Linked DNA regions of Rattus norvegicus. Each later gene encodes a partner of the first gene's protein in a complex. Links are inferred from orthologs where the notes say so. Each region holds a gene or a part of one and is shown in the gene's direction. Other genes may lie near its edges. The genes, in order: Ccna2, Gmnc, E2f1 and Cdc6.

Evidence for each region.
Region 2: the proteins of Ccna2 (region 1) and Gmnc are in contact, whole or in part, in a cryo-EM structure (PDB 9HIU), measured with the Homo sapiens proteins. The link is inferred for Rattus norvegicus from reciprocal best matches to the Homo sapiens genes CCNA2 and GMNC. Residues at the interface, in NP_001228.2 of Homo sapiens: Met210, Ile213, Leu214, Asp216, Trp217, Glu220, Val221, Glu224, Arg250, Leu253, Gln254, Tyr280, Ile281, Thr282, Asp283, Thr285; in NP_001140158.1 of Homo sapiens: Asn165, Ala166, Lys167, Arg168, Asn169, Leu170, Ser171, Glu173, Phe174, Ala175.
Region 3: the proteins of Ccna2 (region 1) and E2f1 are in contact, whole or in part, in a crystal structure (PDB 1H24), measured with the Homo sapiens proteins. The link is inferred for Rattus norvegicus from reciprocal best matches to the Homo sapiens genes CCNA2 and E2F1. Residues at the interface, in NP_001228.2 of Homo sapiens: Met210, Ile213, Leu214, Trp217, Glu220, Val221, Glu224, Arg250, Gln254, Tyr280, Ile281, Thr282, Asp283, Thr285; in NP_005216.1 of Homo sapiens: Val88, Lys89, Arg90, Arg91, Leu92, Asp93, Leu94, Glu95.
Region 4: the proteins of Ccna2 (region 1) and Cdc6 are in contact, whole or in part, in a crystal structure (PDB 2CCH), measured with the Homo sapiens proteins. The link is inferred for Rattus norvegicus from reciprocal best matches to the Homo sapiens genes CCNA2 and CDC6. Residues at the interface, in NP_001228.2 of Homo sapiens: Met210, Ile213, Leu214, Trp217, Glu220, Val221, Glu224, Tyr225, Arg250, Leu253, Gln254, Glu277, Tyr280, Ile281, Thr282, Asp283, Thr285; in NP_001245.1 of Homo sapiens: His89, Thr90, Leu91, Lys92, Gly93, Arg94, Arg95, Leu96, Val97, Phe98, Asp99, Asn100.

What each region holds. Positions count from the first base shown.
Region 1 is NC_086020.1:121,358,841-121,363,110, reverse strand, and holds the start of Ccna2 (cyclin-A2), read left to right. Parts: upstream 1-1,414; 5' UTR 1,415-1,515; coding exon 1,516-1,686; intron 1,687-2,335; coding exon 2,336-2,579; intron 2,580-3,499; coding exon of another isoform or gene 3,500-3,587; intron 3,588-4,270. UniProt on the Homo sapiens protein: Cyclin which controls both the G1/S and the G2/M transition phases of the cell cycle. Functions through the formation of specific serine/threonine protein kinase holoenzyme complexes with the cyclin-dependent protein kinases CDK1 or CDK2.
Region 2 is NC_086029.1:87,338,368-87,342,468, forward strand, and holds the start of Gmnc (geminin coiled-coil domain-containing protein 1), read left to right. Parts: upstream 1-1,249; 5' UTR 1,250-3,255; coding exon 3,256-3,258; intron 3,259-4,101. UniProt on the Homo sapiens protein: Regulator of DNA replication. Promotes initiation of chromosomal DNA replication by mediating TOPBP1- and CDK2-dependent recruitment of CDC45L onto replication origins.
Region 3 is NC_086021.1:163,532,745-163,537,078, reverse strand, and holds the start of E2f1 (transcription factor E2F1), read left to right. Parts: upstream 1-1,515; 5' UTR 1,516-1,668; coding exon 1,669-1,923; intron 1,924-4,334. UniProt on the Homo sapiens protein: Transcription activator that binds DNA cooperatively with DP proteins through the E2 recognition site, 5'-TTTC[CG]CGC-3' found in the promoter region of a number of genes whose products are involved in cell cycle regulation or in DNA replication.
Region 4 is NC_086028.1:84,359,387-84,363,681, forward strand, and holds the start of Cdc6 (cell division control protein 6 homolog), read left to right. Parts: upstream 1-1,478; 5' UTR 1,479-1,651; intron 1,652-1,955; 5' UTR 1,956-1,968; coding exon 1,969-2,149; intron 2,150-3,579; coding exon 3,580-3,861; intron 3,862-3,966; coding exon 3,967-4,166; intron 4,167-4,295. UniProt on the Homo sapiens protein: Involved in the initiation of DNA replication. Also participates in checkpoint controls that ensure DNA replication is completed before mitosis is initiated.

The sequences.
Region 1 (4,270 bases):
TCTTATTGTACACGTGAGGGAAAAAAGAAGACTTAAAAGCAACAGAAGTTTTAGTCATTCATTTCAGGGGAATATTGCATTGAAAGTTTTAAAATACTAAAAAAATAAGAGAAAATAAGCTGTCTTTTGTTTTCAAAGGGTAAATATGAATTTTTCAGAAAACAATAATTACATTTTATTATATTTTATGTGCAATTCTTAAATATTAAATACGAACATTTAAGGCACGTATAGTTGGGTCTTTATTTTAGTAAGGTTTTGTATTTCTCTCCCTCCCTCTCTCTCCCTCCTTCCCTCCGTGTGTGTGTGTGGGGGGGGTGGGGGTGGTTTGGTTTGGTTTGGTTTGGTTTGGTTTGGTTTGATTTTCAAGACAGGATTTCTTTGTGTAGCTGACCCGGAACTAGCTCTGCCCTCCAGGCTGGCCTTGAACTCACAAGAGATCCACCCGCCTGGTGAGTTGCCTGCATTAAAGGTTTAGCCACCGCCTCCTGGCTGCCCCGTTTTCTTATGCACACTTTTTCTACTCTTGAGACATCGTCTCACTAAATAGCTGACTTGGAACTAACTTGAACTCATGCAGTTCATTTTAAATGTAATATCTATTTGGGTCACTGGAACTTCATGGTGTACTATTTGATGTCACAACCAAGGATTAACAAAATAAATGGACATCTGAATTTCTTGTAATACACCACTTGGTACCAACAATAGCTCAAGTTGGCATTTTAAATTGACCCATCTTTATTAGAGGCGAGGAAAAGTTTACTGGAATACCAGGCATAGTGACACATGCCTTTAGTCCTAGAACAGAACTCATGAGACCGAGGCGGGTGGATTGTCAGTGAATCGCAGGACAACTGGGAGACCCTGCCTCAAAAACAACAAACAAAAAATATATACAGGAGAGGCGAAGCAGTAGTAAACAGTAAAAATATCAGTTTCCCTGTGTTGAATGGGCAGCACCACCGAGAGAGAGGAGCAGCTAGTCAGCTGGTAAGGGAGCGGCTAGTCAGCTGAGTCCATACAGTCCTGCCTAGGCGCCACCCAGCGACCAGGGGAAGTCGCTACACCCCTTAGCTGACAGGAATGCTGACACTCCGAGGCCCCGAGGGCTAGTCTGGTCCGCCCAGCTGCTCTGGTAGGATCCTGGGAGGTTACAGACCCACAGAGGATCGGAGAGTTGCGGAAGGCTGCCGCTTGCCCCGCCCTTCTCTGCGCAGGCGCGTCCCTCAGGCGCCCGCCCTGCCAGATTCCCGTCGGGCCTTTGCTCGCGGCGACCGGCGCTCCTGGTGACGTCACTGGCCCCGACCGCCCTCATTGGTCCATTTCAATAGTCGCGGGCTACTTGAACTACAAGAACAGCCGGCGGGCCGCGCGCGGCTCGCGGCACTTGGGCTCTGCGCTCCTCCCTCCCGCAGCGCCTGCTCCGTGCGTCGGCCGCCAGGGTCCCGCGCAGCCCGGGAGCGGCGGGCGCCTTGCACGCTCTGCCGCCGACGGATCCGGACCGGAGCCGCAATGCCGGGCAACTCGAGACAGGCGGGCTCGGCCCTGCTCTCCCAGCAGGAAGACCAGGAGAATGTCAACCCCGAAAAAGTGGCGCCAGCCCAGCAGCCGCGGGCGCAGGCGGTGCTGAAGGCCGGGAAGGTGCGGGGACCGGCGCCGCAGCAGAGGCTCAAGACTCGGCGGGTAAAAGGGCGCGGGGGTCTGTCGGAGGGCCGGGCGGAAGCGGTCTTGGGTTTACCAGCCCAGAGGGCCAAAAAGCATGCTGAGCTTTCTAGGGGTAGTCGGGCTGCAGCCTTTGCGGTCCGGGCGTTTTTAGTACCAAATAGCCCCACGAGCCCTGCGGACCCGTGTATACTGCCCTTCAGCACTAGTGGAGCGGTCTTCCTAAAAATTCTAGGGTCATACCAAGCAGTGCCCCGCGTGTCGACTTCGGCCATGTACCTTTCCCTCCACTTTTAAAGCCAGGCATTGCAGTAGGATATAGATCCCTTCCCCCTCACCATCTGCTTCACAGATTACTACTTAAGGGAAGGACATAAAGCAAGTATTCTGCTTGGTAAATTCCGCCATTTTAGCCAGACTTGCTGTTTTGCTCCACCCTGAGGCTAAAGTTGTGAATCAGTTCTTTCCCCTAACTTTAGTCTTTGATTAGTTTGGAATTCCAATCCGTTGCATTTATAGCCTTTGTAGAAATGGCTGTGACAAATCGGTTTACTCACCTTACCTGGACTTTGACTCATGAACTTACATTTTTCTTAAGAGTATTTGGAAATAAAAGTTGGTACCCACAGGGCAAGAAGCAAAGTATTAAAAAAGAATTCCTTCTCTTTAGGTTGCGCCTCTTAAGGACCTTCCTATAAACGATGAGCACGTCCCTACTGTTCCTTCATGGAAAGCAGTCAGTAAACAGCCTGCCTTCACCATTCATGTGGATGAAGCTGAAGAGACTCAGAAGAGGCCAGCTGAGCAAAAAGAAACTCAGTGTGAAGATGCCCTGGCTTTTAGTGCCGCTGTCTCTTTACCCGGAGCCAGAAAACCACTGGTACCTCTTGATTATCCAATGGATGGTAGTTTTGGTAAGGTTACTCTTTATTTTTACCAGTCCCTGTTTCTTCTTTCCTTCCCTCCTTGCTGTCTTTTTTTCCCCCTCTGAGTTTCTCGAGTATTCTTGACTGTCCTGAAACTCATACTCTATAAGACTAGGCTGGCCTTGAAATAAGAGATCCACCTACCTCTGCCTCCTGATTGCTGGGATTAAAGGCATGTGCTACCACACCAAACCTTTACCTTTTGAGACAGGATCTCAATCTGTAGCTCAGACTAACCTTGAACTCAAACCGTCCTGCCTCAGCCTCTCAAATTCTAGATTACAGGCCTGGCACCATCCGTACCTTGCTTGGCATACTCTAAAGATTGTTATTAAGCTAAAAAATTAGTTACTTAATTGGGTTAGTGATATTTTTGAGGTTTTTTTTAATTTTGCAAATTTCAGGTTTATTTACATTCAGTTTACGAATCAAAATGTCGTTTCAAATATATTTAAAATACGTAGCATTTTTAAAATTTTCACTCCAAATGTGTTCATCATAGCCATGACTAACGGATTTTACCACTGTACTTTAGCACTGATCGACTGCAGTCACCAAAAGTCCTGCGGTTGATATTTTTGAGTTTTAAGACTATGCTTACCTGCTCATAACACAGTGAGTTAAGATTACTACAGTGGGCTTAGAAAGGATCACAGATCCACTGACCTATAAAAGGACTCAAATCCTTAACCAGCAGGGAGGGCACTGCTGGACAAAGCTACATCAATTTTAATTAGATCTTAAATGCCTATCTTAATATGACTTTATAAGTGTTTGGCTGAGATAATAGATTTCAGTTTTATGTATGATTCACTTCTTAACATGCCAGTCCTAAGAGTGCTCCTTGAGCCTACAGTTTTAAGCATTATATCTGCCATTCCTTTAAAACTAATTTAAATGTTTGTCAGATTGCAGGTCAGACACATGGAAGGCAGAATAGCTGCTATAGACAGCTCTGCCGGTGCTATGATCTCACTGTGGAGACCAGAGATGTTGGTATCTGTCACTTTCTACCTTATGCTATATGTGTGCCAGGGGAAGGAGTATTACGCTTGCCTGTGCTGGTACATGTAGAGGCTAGAGAGAGTACTTGACTTTGGGGTATCTTCAATCACTTTTCTATATCATTTCTTAATCAAAGGTCTCATTGGGGCTCACTGATTTGGCTAGACAGCCTGGCCATCAAACTGCAGGGAACTGAGTATTTCAACCCTTTTTCTTCTTCCCGTCTAGGGTTGCAGACAATGCCACAACATCTAGCTTGAGTGGTGCTGGGAATGCAATGCACATCTTCATGCTTATCCAGCAGGCACTGCACTGCCATTTCCCAGCCCCCCAGTTCACTTAGTTCTACTGATGGGGTAGGAGGAGGGTATGGAAACTATTATTACACAGATTCCCCTATCTCAAGATAATTTAAATGGTAAAAACTAGAGCTGAGTATATTAATGCCCAATAGCACTCAGGAGGCTAAGGCAAGATTGTCAGCCTAGGTTACGGAGTGAATTTCAGGCCAGTCTGGCCCACAGAATGAGACCCTGTTTAACAAACACCAAGTCCCTTACAGATTATAGTTAGTCTGTTTGAACATGGTATGACAGACTTGATATCTTTACTAACATTTGGTAATATATGCCATTTACCCAATTCTAGTTACTCCCTCATTGTGATCTGACTAT
Region 2 (4,101 bases), on another chromosome or scaffold:
ACCTCCACTGTGTTTTAACTTCACCAAGAGTTTATGATCTGATTTATGATCTGATTTGCACTCAACTGAGAATAGCTCTCCAGTGTTCTTGGATTCTATATTACCATGTGCTCGCCCATGTGTACTGTGCTAAAGTAGTTGTTTCCAAAGCATTTATATTCTAAAAATACATTAAAGAATTTTAAGACTTACATCTAACCCTCAAGAAAAAAATACCCAGTTTGCACATCCAGCATGCCCTTCAGAAAATTTAGTAGACCCTGCAGAGCAATAGACATTTATACGTCTTCAAAGCCAGAAGTCTCCCTGTGAGTAATAGTAAAAATGTTACTAGTATTTAATCAGCAAATAGGAAAATTATTGAGCATTAGCAGATATGATTCATATTTGAACTCTCTTGTAGGCATTTTTCTTCTAATCCATCAAATGGATTACTAGAATCGAGAGACCTTGATATAGCAACCTACAGGTTTATTCAGGATAAGGAATCCACAAATATTTTAATGCAAAGCCAATGGCCATTTCTTTTCTTTTTATCATGCTATATTTGCTCACTTACCTGCCTTGTGTCATTCATTGCGAAGGCTTACACTTCTCACACTTCTCATCTGTAACAACTTCCCAAAGCAAGTCTACTCAGTCCTCCCGTCTCTGCCTCTGCTGCTCATTATGAAACTACCAGGCTTTGTTAAAGAGCTTAGGTGTTTGCAGGACTAATGCATGAACAACGCTTTGACTGGAACAAGACCGCTCATTCACAAGATCTAAATGAATTTGGTACTTTGTCCTTTGTACTGTCAGAGCAGAGTGGGAACTGCTTTCTCTTAGAACACATTGGAATGGGCTGGCATTGAGTGATCCAGTTCATCAATTTCCCGTGCAGTGATCTTCACGTGTAGTCTTGTTCATTAAAATTTACAAATAAATATTATCAGAGCAGGAGAAAGAATACCACTGAGTCTGACACATTCTCAACTCCCTCCTCTATACCTTTCTTGATCGTGGGGGTACTGAGCCATTTAGTCACCTCATAGTTTTTCTAAATTCTATTATAGACAGAGGAAGAGAACAAAGAAATGTTAATTTCTTCTCTAAAGAACAAAATATTTAATCTGGACTCAAACTCTGGTTCTCAGTTTCTGTGTCACGTCCATATCAGTTTGCCAGGGCTACCTAGCAGTCATGCTATAGTAGGTCAAGCCTGGCTCTCAGAGAGGTTGGAAGTGCAACATCGAGGTTTCTGCTGGGCACATGTTTTTTCCTGAGCTTTCCCTTCTTGAACCCCAAACAGATGTCTGTAAACTCTGTCCTGCTATGACATTTTGTTTGAGTGCCATCCCAGGTCCCTGGTGTGTCTACCTTCTGATAATACCACCAGGCATAAGGTCTACTCTTATGAACACATTTAAACTTTGTTCTTGAAGTAACCTTTCTCTAAATCTAGTTAACACTGGCACCAGAGCCTCAACCTATGAATTTGAAAGAAGTGCAAATTGGTATCGTAACTGTGCCAATTACGCACACATCTGTGTGTAGCGCGTTGAATGCAATGTTCTTGCGATAGGTAGAATGAAGTTTGGACGGCTTAGCCTGAAGTCCAAAACCCAAGACTGACACTCACATATTGTGCTAACAGTGTTCACTTTCTTACCCCCAGGGCTTCCCTTTTACACTGAGAGTCAACATGGCTTCTATGTTGACTGTCCACCTCTTTAGCGTTTTTCTAAATTAGCATTTATTCATTGTACAAAATATCGGGCTTCCTAATCGTGCATGTACAGAATGTACTTTGCTAATATTTACACCCATTACTCTCTCTTGTCCCTTCCACACTCTGGTCCTTACACACACACACACACACACACACACACACACACACACACACACACACACACACACATACTCATATACATGCACTTTAAATAGAGACTCTTTTCATAAAAAAGAATATACAAGGTATTTGTTATGGCTCTGGCTTATTTCACTTAGCATTATGGTATCTAAGACTAGCATTTTTTTTATACAAAGGACATAATGTCATTCTTTATAGCTAAATAAGGCTCCCTGGTTTATATATTTTCCTCATGTGTATATTATCTGTTGCTGAGCACTGTCCACTCCTTGGTTCTGTGACTTGAACAGCAACAGACAGTGTTGTGCAGATGCCTGTCAGGGTGCCTTCGAGACCTCTAGGGATATTCCCAGGCTTGTTGGAGCTGGACCCTAGTCATCCACTACTTTACGTCCATTTAAATGGTCAGCACAAGTGAGAGTTGCCTACTGGGGTTTGCCTAAAGGAGGCATTGCTTCTCTGTCATCCCTAGATTGAACATTGTAGAGATACATATAAGGATAAAATAAAAGATAGGGAAATAAAATATGCTATGAAGTATTGACAGACATTATTTTTCTTAATATTAATATTTTTTGTTTTATATAATTGTGCCGTGCATCAGCCCAACTGAGCGAAAACCACTTTAGATTCCTAACTATAAACTCTAATTCACTGTTTGAACAAATTTTATTCAGTACTTTTGCAGGCCATGGTTCATGATAGATGTCTTGGAAAATATATATTCCAGACTTTATACATTTTCCCCTTACATTTAAGCCTTGCAAGAACTGGGTTCTTGCATTAAATATGAAAAAAATAAAATAAAATCTAGTGGCTGCTATTAAGTTACCATCACTTGTTATCCTGTGACCAGGGAATGCACAGAGCGCCACTCACACCAGGGCCCCTTGGATGGGCTTTAGTGCTGTGCAGAGACCAAGGTTTGGCCTTCAGATGCCTCCGGGGGCTGGCTGGCCGCCCTGCCCGGCCCCGCCCTGCCGGCTGCTGGGCGCGTGGCGCAGAGCGAGCAGGGCAGCCAAGACCCCATCGCCGGCTGCCACCGCGCCAGGTAGACTCTGTAGACTGAGCTCACACAGGCACAGGCTTTGACCGGGCGGGCGTGCCTTGGATGCTGCCTCCGCGTCCGCAAGGAGACGCGCAGATCTCACGTCCCAGTGCGGGTGTCTCGGGAGTGGCCGTGGCTTAGGTTGGGCGGCTCCCTAGGCACGCACGTCACCTTGTTTGACAGCCTCCTACTAAATCAGAGAGCAGCGCCGGCCAGGAGCCTCGCGCGCGTCACTGGCAGCTCCGGCGGATTAGAACTCGCCTCCTTGCTCCTCCCTGCAGTCCCGTTTAAAGTTAAGGCTGGCTTTAAGAGAAAGTTGAGTGAGCCTAGTATCTTCAGCGCTTTCTTCTGCGACATGGTAAGTGAGGAGCTGGCCTTAACTGGTCTGCTGCCAGGACCTGGGGGCCCTGGAAGACAGTAAACTGCATTTCAAATATACTCCTCTTTGGGAGATGCCTTTGTACTTTCCAATTAAAATAGGCACCCCTTTTATTCTCTGTTCCCGTTCTTTGCACATTTGCCTCCCTACCCCACCCATTTGCCCTCACCCCGCACAGACTTTCTTTCCCCCCCACCTGTTCCTCCAGCTGATGCCCACATTTGCAAACACTTAGATTGGAACTGCTTAGGAGCCTTTGGGGTTTGTTTTCCTCTCGGGTGTCAATTGCATAATAGCTTAGCTCTGATTCCAATAATAACCTCCGAAAAGAGTCTACAAACATACTTTTAGAAAGAAAAAAAGAACACAGCACTTGATAAACCTTTGGCTGCATTTCTTTAGGCAACGGCTGCCCAAGCTGTACTCTAAAAGTTCACTCGCTGGGAGCAGAGCCCAAGTGTTAGTCTAGAGACTCAATGATAACTTAGTTTTATTTTCTTACTCCTCCTCTTCTTCTTCCTCCTTTCCTTCCTCCTCCTCTTCCTCACCCCTCCTCCTCTCCCTCCTTTCCTCTCCCTCCTTTCTGCTTTCTCTTCTGGTATCTTTATTTATGTTATGTCTAAGAAAGTCTTCAAGGCAGCAACAGACTGACAGTGTTCAAAAAGTTTGTTCAAACCTGTCCTCTGTTGCCACAGATGTCTTTTACCTGATTAAACATTGACACATAATTAAGAGTGGGCTGTTGGACAACTTAGGGCAGCCTGCCTGCCCTGCATGGACATTTGGAAAGACCATATCTGAGGTTTGAGGAGTGAGTGGGGC
Region 3 (4,334 bases), on another chromosome or scaffold:
ACTTGGGAGGCAGAAGCAGGCATACTTAAGCGTGTTCCAGGACAGCCAGAGCCAGACAATGAGACCATGCCTCGAAAAAACAAAGAAACAAACTACCCCCCCCAAAAAAAACAAAAAAAAAGGGGGGCGGGGGCGGCCTGGGATTGATTCTAAATTGACCAAGGTTGGGTGGTTCAAAGTTAACCGATGCGTGGAAGATAAAGTAGTATGAGGTGATAGTGAAAGTACCCGGGCTTGAGAGCTCCTTGTAGCCTACACTGGACTTGGGGACTTGAATATTGTCAGCTACTCTTTTCTTTTTTTTTTTTTTTTTGGTTTTTTTTTTTTTTTTTTTTTTTTTCCGGAGCTGGGGACCGAACCCAGGGCCTTGAGCTTCCTAGGTAAGGGCTCTACCACTGAGCTAAATCCCCAGCCCCTGTCAGCTACTCTTCTTGTGGTCATCCCCACCCGCAAGGGCAGGAAGTATGTAGGTCTTGTTAAACCTTTCGTGTTTCGATTCCCAGTATTGGCAAGATGCCTGTCAGAGAGGACCACAATGCTGATCAGATGGGCTGACCTGAGCAATCAGAAATGCTGATGGAGGACCTCAGGATTAAAGGATCCCTCCATATGCACCCTCCCCACCCCTGCACCGCCCTCTGTGAGGCCTAACGTGGAGTTACTTAGTTCAATCTCTTCACATTGTAAGCATCTGCTGCCTCTCGGTTCCCTTTTTTCCTTTTCACTAAGTCAGGAGTCAAGGTCTGGGTTGAGTATGGGACAATAAACAGGCTCTCAGGCGTTTGTGATTTTTTTGAGACAGGGTCTCACTGTGTAGTCCTGAATGGCCTGAACTTGGAAAATCCGCCCGCCTCTGCCTCCCAAGTGCTGGGATTAAAGACAGGTGCCATTGTGGACTGACCAAACGAATGAACGATAACTGGGCGTTGGCTACTAAAGGAATTTCAGTAAAATGAGACTGAGATCAAAGCCACACATCCCTACTCATTTCCTGGCACCCCTCTTGGGCTTGGCTTCTGGGTGACAGGGAAGAACCCATGATGTGAACTAATGGAATAAGTGGGTCTTAAGACCGGAGATGTGGCTGAAGTGAACTTTGGAGGTGAGCCTGAGCGTGCAGAAGAAGCAGTTTCTGGACTGTAAACTGAGGGGGTGGAGACCACAGGTTGAGAGTTTAGGGGCTCATGCGGCATGTGGAGACTGCGGGACGTGCAGAACCAAGTACGAAGTTTGTTGCCTTCGCCAGACCCCGCCACCCATCGAGTGGGCGGTGAAGGGGGCGGGGTCCATTGCCCACGCCCCCTGCAGGGCACAGCGAGAGGCAGAAGGGAGAAGGCGCCCGGCACCGCCCGGACAAAGCCTGCGCGCGCCCCGCCCCGCGATTGGCCACCCCGCCCCTGGTCCCACCCTCCGTCGCCTGCCCCGCACGCTGCAACCAATGTCTGCTACCGAAGCCGACTTCGTCACAGCCACGCAGGCCAATGGAGGAGGCGTTCGGCGGCGCGTGGCTCTTTCGCGGCAAAAAGGATTTGGCGCGTAAAAGTGGCCCGGACTTTGCAGGCAGCGGCGGCCGGGGCGGAGCGGGATCGAGCCCTCGCCGCGGCCTGCCGTCATGGGCCCGCGCCGCCGCCGCCGCCTGCCTCCCGGGCCACGCGGGCCGTGAGTGCCATGGCCGTAGCCCCCGCGGGCGGCCAGCACGCGCCGGCGCTGGAGGCCCTGCTCGGGGCGGGCGCGCTGCGGCTGCTCGACTCCTCGCAGATCGTCATCATCTCCACCGCGCCCGATGTCGGCGCCCCGCAGGTCCCCACCGGCCCCGCCGCGCCGCCCGCTGGCCCTCGAGATCCTGACGTGCTGCTCTTCGCAACGCCGCAGGCGCCCCGACCCGCGCCTAGTGCACCGCGCCCGGCTCTCGGCCGCCCGCCGGTACGGACCCTAGGCGCGGGCGGGGGAGGGGCGGGCTGCAGCGCTGGGCGGTGCGGAGTCTGGGCTGGGCCTCGGGGCTCCGCCCCGGGGCGCGCGCTGACTGACTGCCTTGCCCTGTCTGTTTGCTGCGCCTTGCTCTGGGCCTCAGCGTCTTCACCAGAGCGGCAGGTTTATTAATGATAATGGCTCACGTGTATTCAGCTGGTGCTTGCTTATTGCACGCCCAGGCTTTGGCACACTTGAAGTCGGCCAAAATTCTCAACTCTGTTGTGAGCTGGGTGTTGTCACGTGCCCATCTGCCAGAGGGAGGAACTGAGGCCCAGAGACAGGGAAGTGCTTCACGCAGCTGCAGATGGTGGGGCTGGTATTTGAACTGATGGCGGCTGGCTTGCTGCAGAACCTATGGCTAGTTAGTGCGCACAGTTGCTTGATGGAGATGAAAGAGGGTGACTGTTGGAGACATCCTCGAGAGACCCTCCTTCGTGGCTCTGCCAGGTGCAGGCCTGGCCTTCCAGGCCTCTGGGGATAGGCCTCTTGATTGGGAGGCCTTCTCTGCAGGGGCGGGGTGCTGGGCCAGCTGCTGCAACCCTTCCTCTGCCTGTCCTTCCATCTGCCACCCTTCCAGCCCCTGGTTGCCATGGAACTTTATTAATCAGGCGGACAGACCCCTGAGACTCTGGAAGACTGGGTGGGCTGGGCCCCTGAGAAGGGGCCTCCAGTTCCTGGAGAGAGAAGACGTGGGAGGGAGATCCCTGGATAAAGTCTTTTCCTGATCCTAAGTAGCAAGACCAGTTTAGGCTGGGGGCCTAGAAAAGGCAGCGGAAGTGGAGAGTGGAACTTGGATCTAAGCAGGGGCCAGCTCAGCCAGTGGGCCACCAACTTTATTGTAGGGGTGGAGCAAGCAGGAGGTGTTCACAGCAGGGGGCTTGGAGCAAGCGGGAGGGGCCAGACCCAATACCGGAGTAGAAACTGTTCAACTCCTGGTGGGGGTGCGGGTGGCAGCTGGTCCCAGAGGCATCTTAGAGAAGGCCCATACCCCCTTTGGCCCAGTGCCCAGTGCTGCCTTCCTTCCGGAATCACCAAGATGCTAATAACAATAACAATAGCAACCACCATTGTTTTGAGGACGTTTTGGGTGCCAGGCTCTGTGCTAAGCACTTTACCCACTTAACCCTGTGGACAGCCTTACTTTTTCATCCTTCCATAGATGAGGAGGCTGAAGCCCACAAATGATGGAACTTCTTAATCATTCTTCTAGGGAGTGGTATTTCCTGATTGTTAAAGCCCTTTCCTCCCACTGAGGAGGCCGGCCAGTATTTGGTGGGTCAGCTGGCTTGCCTTCCCTCCACTCCACGGGCCTGTACCAGTAGGTAGAAGGTTGGGCCCTGGGCAGATATTCTACATTTGACTAAACATTGCATTCACTCAAGTTGTGGAGTTCGTGAGTCCCCATTATGTGCTAGGTGCAGAGGTACTTAAGGATCCCCTTCCCCCACGGTACTTAAGGCCCAGCAAACATTTTCTGTGGGAGAGGTTGACACCATCCTGGAGCCAAAGGCCAGGAATGCAAATCTGGATTTTGGCCTCTACTGACTTTGCTCTGGAATTTGGGGTGGGGGGGCAGTCCTTGAAATAAGCTACAGGCTTGGCTTCCACCCAGTGAGCACTTGCTGGGTGCTTCCTGTGTACCTCTCTACACCTCTGCAATTCAGACATTCTTCCTGCCCTACCTACCTTTACCTTGTCTGTGTGTGTGTGTGTGTGTGTGTGTGTGTGTGTGTGTGTGTTTATAGATCCTATCGGGGTGTATTGACTAGGGAGAAGCAGAGACAGGAGAATCCACATGTTCAAGGCCAGCCAGGGTTACCTAGAGTGAAACTGTACCTTAAAGGAAGTTGGTCTGGAGAGATGGTTTAGCCATTGAAAGCACTTGCTATTCTATATGACAACTTAAGTTTGATCACAGCCCAACACTGAGGTCACAGATGACCAACTCCAGTTTCGAGGGGTTTGATATTGTCTTCTCCTGTCCTTGGGTACCCATGTTCATATATAGTCATACGGACACAAAGTTCTTTTTAAAAAGAAAACAATTTAAAAAGCAAATTAGTTAAATAAAAATAAATTAAAACACCAACAGCCTATTTTGGTTAACTGACATCTTATAATCCAAGCAGGCAAGAATGAGGATACTGAGTCTTGAGTTCAAAGCCAGCCTGCACTACAAAGACCCTGTTTCAAAATGGTAACAGCAAGAAGCTGATGTTTCCATTATAATGTAGTACTTGTTTACTGTGGACAGTATGTAGTACCATACATTAAGTCTGTAAAAGACAGGCTTGGGGTTGGGGATTTAGCTCAGTGGTAGAGCGCTTGCCTAGCAAGCACAAGGCCCTGGGTTTGGTCCCCAG
Region 4 (4,295 bases), on another chromosome or scaffold:
GTTCGGTCCCCAGCTCCCAAAAAAAAAAAAAAAAAAAAAAAAAGACTCATTAGCTCTTACCAGCTATTTGAAATAAGTTAACTGATGGTTGTCCTGTTGCTCTCCTATTCCTAGCTTTATGTCTATTTTATTTGGTATCGGAGGATAAAAGATATGTTTTATAGCTAGGTATGATGCATTCTTTTAATCCCAGCACTTGAGAAGCAGACCCAGACAGATCTCTGAGTTTGAGGCCAGCCTATTCTATGTAGTTCTAGGACAGCCAGAGCTACAAAAAAAGGGAAAAGTCTCAAAAAAAGAGAAAGCAACAAAAAACAAACAAACAACAAAATCCCATAAACTTCACCATTACCTAGATTTGGGTTCTGGTCTTTAAAAGAACCCAAGGGTTATTAACCTTAGAGCATGCAAATTACTGCTCTAATTAACATTTTTCATTAAATGCTCAGCTTGCCTCTCCAATAACTGTCTTCCCTGGCTCCGAAACCCTAGTGCTTGGCCATAAAAGATTTTCAAATTAAAGGGACATAATTTTACTCCCTACGATGTGTAGATAGATTAATGTTAAGAAGGCACTTGGAATGTATTACCTTGAAATTGTACGTTTGGTGTTGGACTTGCTTCTCACTTTTCAAGCGCAAGTCAACAAATAGTGAGATGATGTCAGTTTGCTTATATAGGTCTAGAACTTGCCCCCCCAAACCCTGGTTCAAGTCATCAGCCCCTCAGAAAACTGTGACCTTATGCATTCATTTGCTTCCTGCCATACAAGACTGCCCCCTTAAAATCTAGCTCACCAGAATAATGAAAATAGGTACATTTGGCAGAGAAGAGGAGCAAAGATAGCCCAGGAGAATGAGAACGTTAGGCAATACCAGGAACAATGATCTCCCTGTAGAAATAAAAATGCGGAAGTAGACTGCGTGGAAGCAAAAACTACACTTCCCGCCAGGCCTTGCGGCGTGGCGTGGTCGCAAGCGCGCGCCCTTCCTCCGAGGTCTCTGAAGTTAACGCCCTCCTGGACGAGTGGGTGTGACTTCGTGTTGGGCGCTGAGACCTGGGGCTGTCCCTATTGGCTGCCAACTGCCACCGGCGAAGGCGTGGTGATTAGTGACAACTAATCAGAAGCCTGGCTGGGCTTTGGCGGGAGAGGAGAACGCTGAGGTGGAGCGAATTTGGCGCGAGCTGACTTTGCAGCAGCTGTGGACCTTGTGGCCGGAGAGTCCTTGCGGTTCTGATCGAGATCAGGGGAGCGTGCACTGAGCGACACATTCCTGAAGAGTGCAAAGCTCCGTGAGGTCTGGTGCCCACAGAATTGAGGCTGGTCTGAGCAAGGCCGGTGGAGAGCGGAAATCGCCTGGGGTCTGAGGCTGGGTCAGGGAGGGCGTTGTGAGCTCTAGAAGCGGTCCGAGCATGGAGTGTTGGGAAGGAGCAGAGAGCTGCTGGGAGGAAATGGTGTAGGGTGGGGTTGAGAGCTTTGTGGAGTGCTGGCTAGTTCTGTGCAGGGGAGGACGGAGCTGCACTGCCTGGACTTGGGAGAGCCTAAATGTCTGGAACTAAACTAGTGCTAAAGACGTCTCGCATGTCTGGAGTGAAGGAACTAGAAGTATTATAGAAATTACTGGAGATAAACTTCTGGCATCGCTCAAGTGTAAGAACTTGGGTTCTGGTCCCTGGATGACCAGGATAGCCGTGGTTTTCTGTGATTATCTCTTTAAGAGAGGGCTAATAGTTTCTACCTCTGAGGTATGGTAAGACTGAAGTGTGTAATATGTGTATAACGGAATGTTACGCGTACTAGGCAGACCGATGTTACACTTTTACATAGATTTGCACCGGAGGCAGGAAATGTTAAAAATGCTATGTTAACATGACTTATGGAGTCCTGGTCCCCAGTATAAAGTAAGCTCTGTGTGTTTTTCTCTTTGCTTTTCCTGATTCTTCTTTGTATCCAGTTGTGTGGCCATCATGCCTCAAACCCGATCCCAGACACAAGCTACCATCGACTTTCCGAAAAAGAAGCAATCTAAGACCCTGAGCAAGACAAACTCCCGTGACAGTGAAGTAAAACTTAGAAACGTCCAGCCTGTACCCACCACTCCGTGTGCGGACATAAAAATTCTGCCTCTCAGTCCCCGAAAACGTTTGGGTAAGCTTTCACTCTGCGAGTGTGACTATGACTGAGCTGTCAGCCTTTCTTACCTCTGTGCGGAGATGCCTGTCCCCTAAATCCTGGGCTGTATTTGTTTCCATAATGGCTGCCAAGTGTGTACTGAACTTCACAGTTAAGTCGACAACTAACAGGGACCATTTGCTGAGGAACCTAGGTTTGATCTTCATTTCCTTGGTTCTGTCCTTTAAATTTTCCGTGAAGTTATAGTGTTGTGAGATTTGCCTGCATACTTGTGAAATTAAGAAGCAACAAAGTAAGCCAGGAGGTGGTGAGCACACTTGGAACCCCAGCACTTAGAAGGCAGAGGCAGGTGGATCTCTTGAGTTTTGGGGCCAACCTGGTCCACAGAGTAAGTTTCAGGACAGCCTGAGTTACACAGAGAACCCCTGTCTTGAGAAAGAAAAAAAAAACAATTAGATGAGATTATTAAATTTTTTTATTATTTTTGTTTTTCTTTTTTTAAAAAAATATATTTATTTCATGTATGTGGGTGCACTATTGCTGTCCTCAGACACACCAGAAGAGGGCATCAGATCCCATTTCAGATGGTCGTGACCCGCCATGTGGTTGCTGGGAATCGAACTCAGGACCTCTGGAAGAGCAGTCAGTGCTCTTAACGTCTGAGCCATCTCTCCAGCCCTGTTTTTGTTTTCAAATAGTACTTAACTATCATTTCCATTTTTTGATGTCTCTTTTTTTGTTGTTCTTGTTGTTTTGTTTTTGTGGGTTTTTGTTTGTTTGTTTGTTTTTGCTTTGTTTTTTTTGTTTTTTGTTTTGTTTTTAAAGAAATGTTCTGGGGTTGGGGATTTGGCTCAGTGGTAGAGCGCTTGCCTAGGAAGCGCAAGGCCCTGGGTTCGGTCCCCAGCTCCGAAAAAAAGAACCAAAGAAAAAAAAAAAAAAAAAGCTAACAAGTCTGCTGGACATTCAACAATGCACACAAACAGCTTCCCAGAGAGGGAAGTTCTTTACCCCGAGATGTCAGGTCCCTTGAGCCCAGGTTGACGAGTCCTATTTTAAAACAACCTTACAGTTTCACCCCACTAGAACTACCAAATGATAAGATTCAGGGGTGCCATCTGGTGGCCACATTTGCTCCTTGGTGAGAAGTTTCTTCGGTGGTTCTGACTCAGGTAGAAATTCACCTCTTGTCGGTGGTGGTGGTGGTGGTGCACACCTCCAGTCCTCCGGAGGCAGAGGCACACAGATCTTTTGTGACTGCGGGGGCATCTGGGTTACCAGGATAGCCAGGGTCTCCTGTCTCAACAGAGAAAGAAACCACCTCTTTCCGGATGTGGGAGATGTCTGTAGTTCTTTCCTGTCCTCCTATGAAGGACCACATTCTGCAGTTAGTGTTTTTGGGGGTGACAGCATTGCAGTGAGTGAGTGAGTTCTGCTCTGTGCTTCAGGTGATGACAATCTGTGCAACACTCCCCATTTATCTCCATGTTCTCCGCCCAAGCTGGGCAGGAAGGAAAACGGCCCCCCTCGCTCACATACACGGAAGGGATGCAGATTAATATTCGATGATGAGCTGGCAGTTAAGGCTTCCGCCCCAAAAGAACAAGACAGAGTTCCCCAGCACCAAATACTTTCCTCCGCTCAAAGAGGTCAAGAGAGCGAAACAAATCCTGAGCAGAAATGCCCACCAGAGAAGGAATCCGCGTGTATGCGACTGTTCAAGCAGGAAGGTGAGTCCTTATGTGGTAGCCTAGCCATCATGAACTATGCTGGTGGAGCCAAATGAAACCCGGTCACCTTTGGCTGTGTCTTAATTGACCTTTATTCCGGCACAGGCACTTGCTATCAACAGGCAAAGCTTGTCCTGAATACAGCTGTCCCGGACCGGCTGCCTGCCAGAGAACAGGAGATGGGTGTCATCAGGGATTTCCTGAAGGAGCACATCTGTGGGAAAAAAGCTGGGAGTCTCTACCTTTCTGGCGCTCCTGGAACTGGGAAAACTGCCTGTTTAAGCCGGATTCTGCAGGACTTCAAGGTATGCTAAGAATCTGAATTATGGACACTTTTGCTGAAACATTATGTGTATATTTATGTATGTTTGTGTGTGTCCCCACACATTGGCATTTTACTTGCATGTATGGTTGTGTGAGAATGTTGGGTCCCC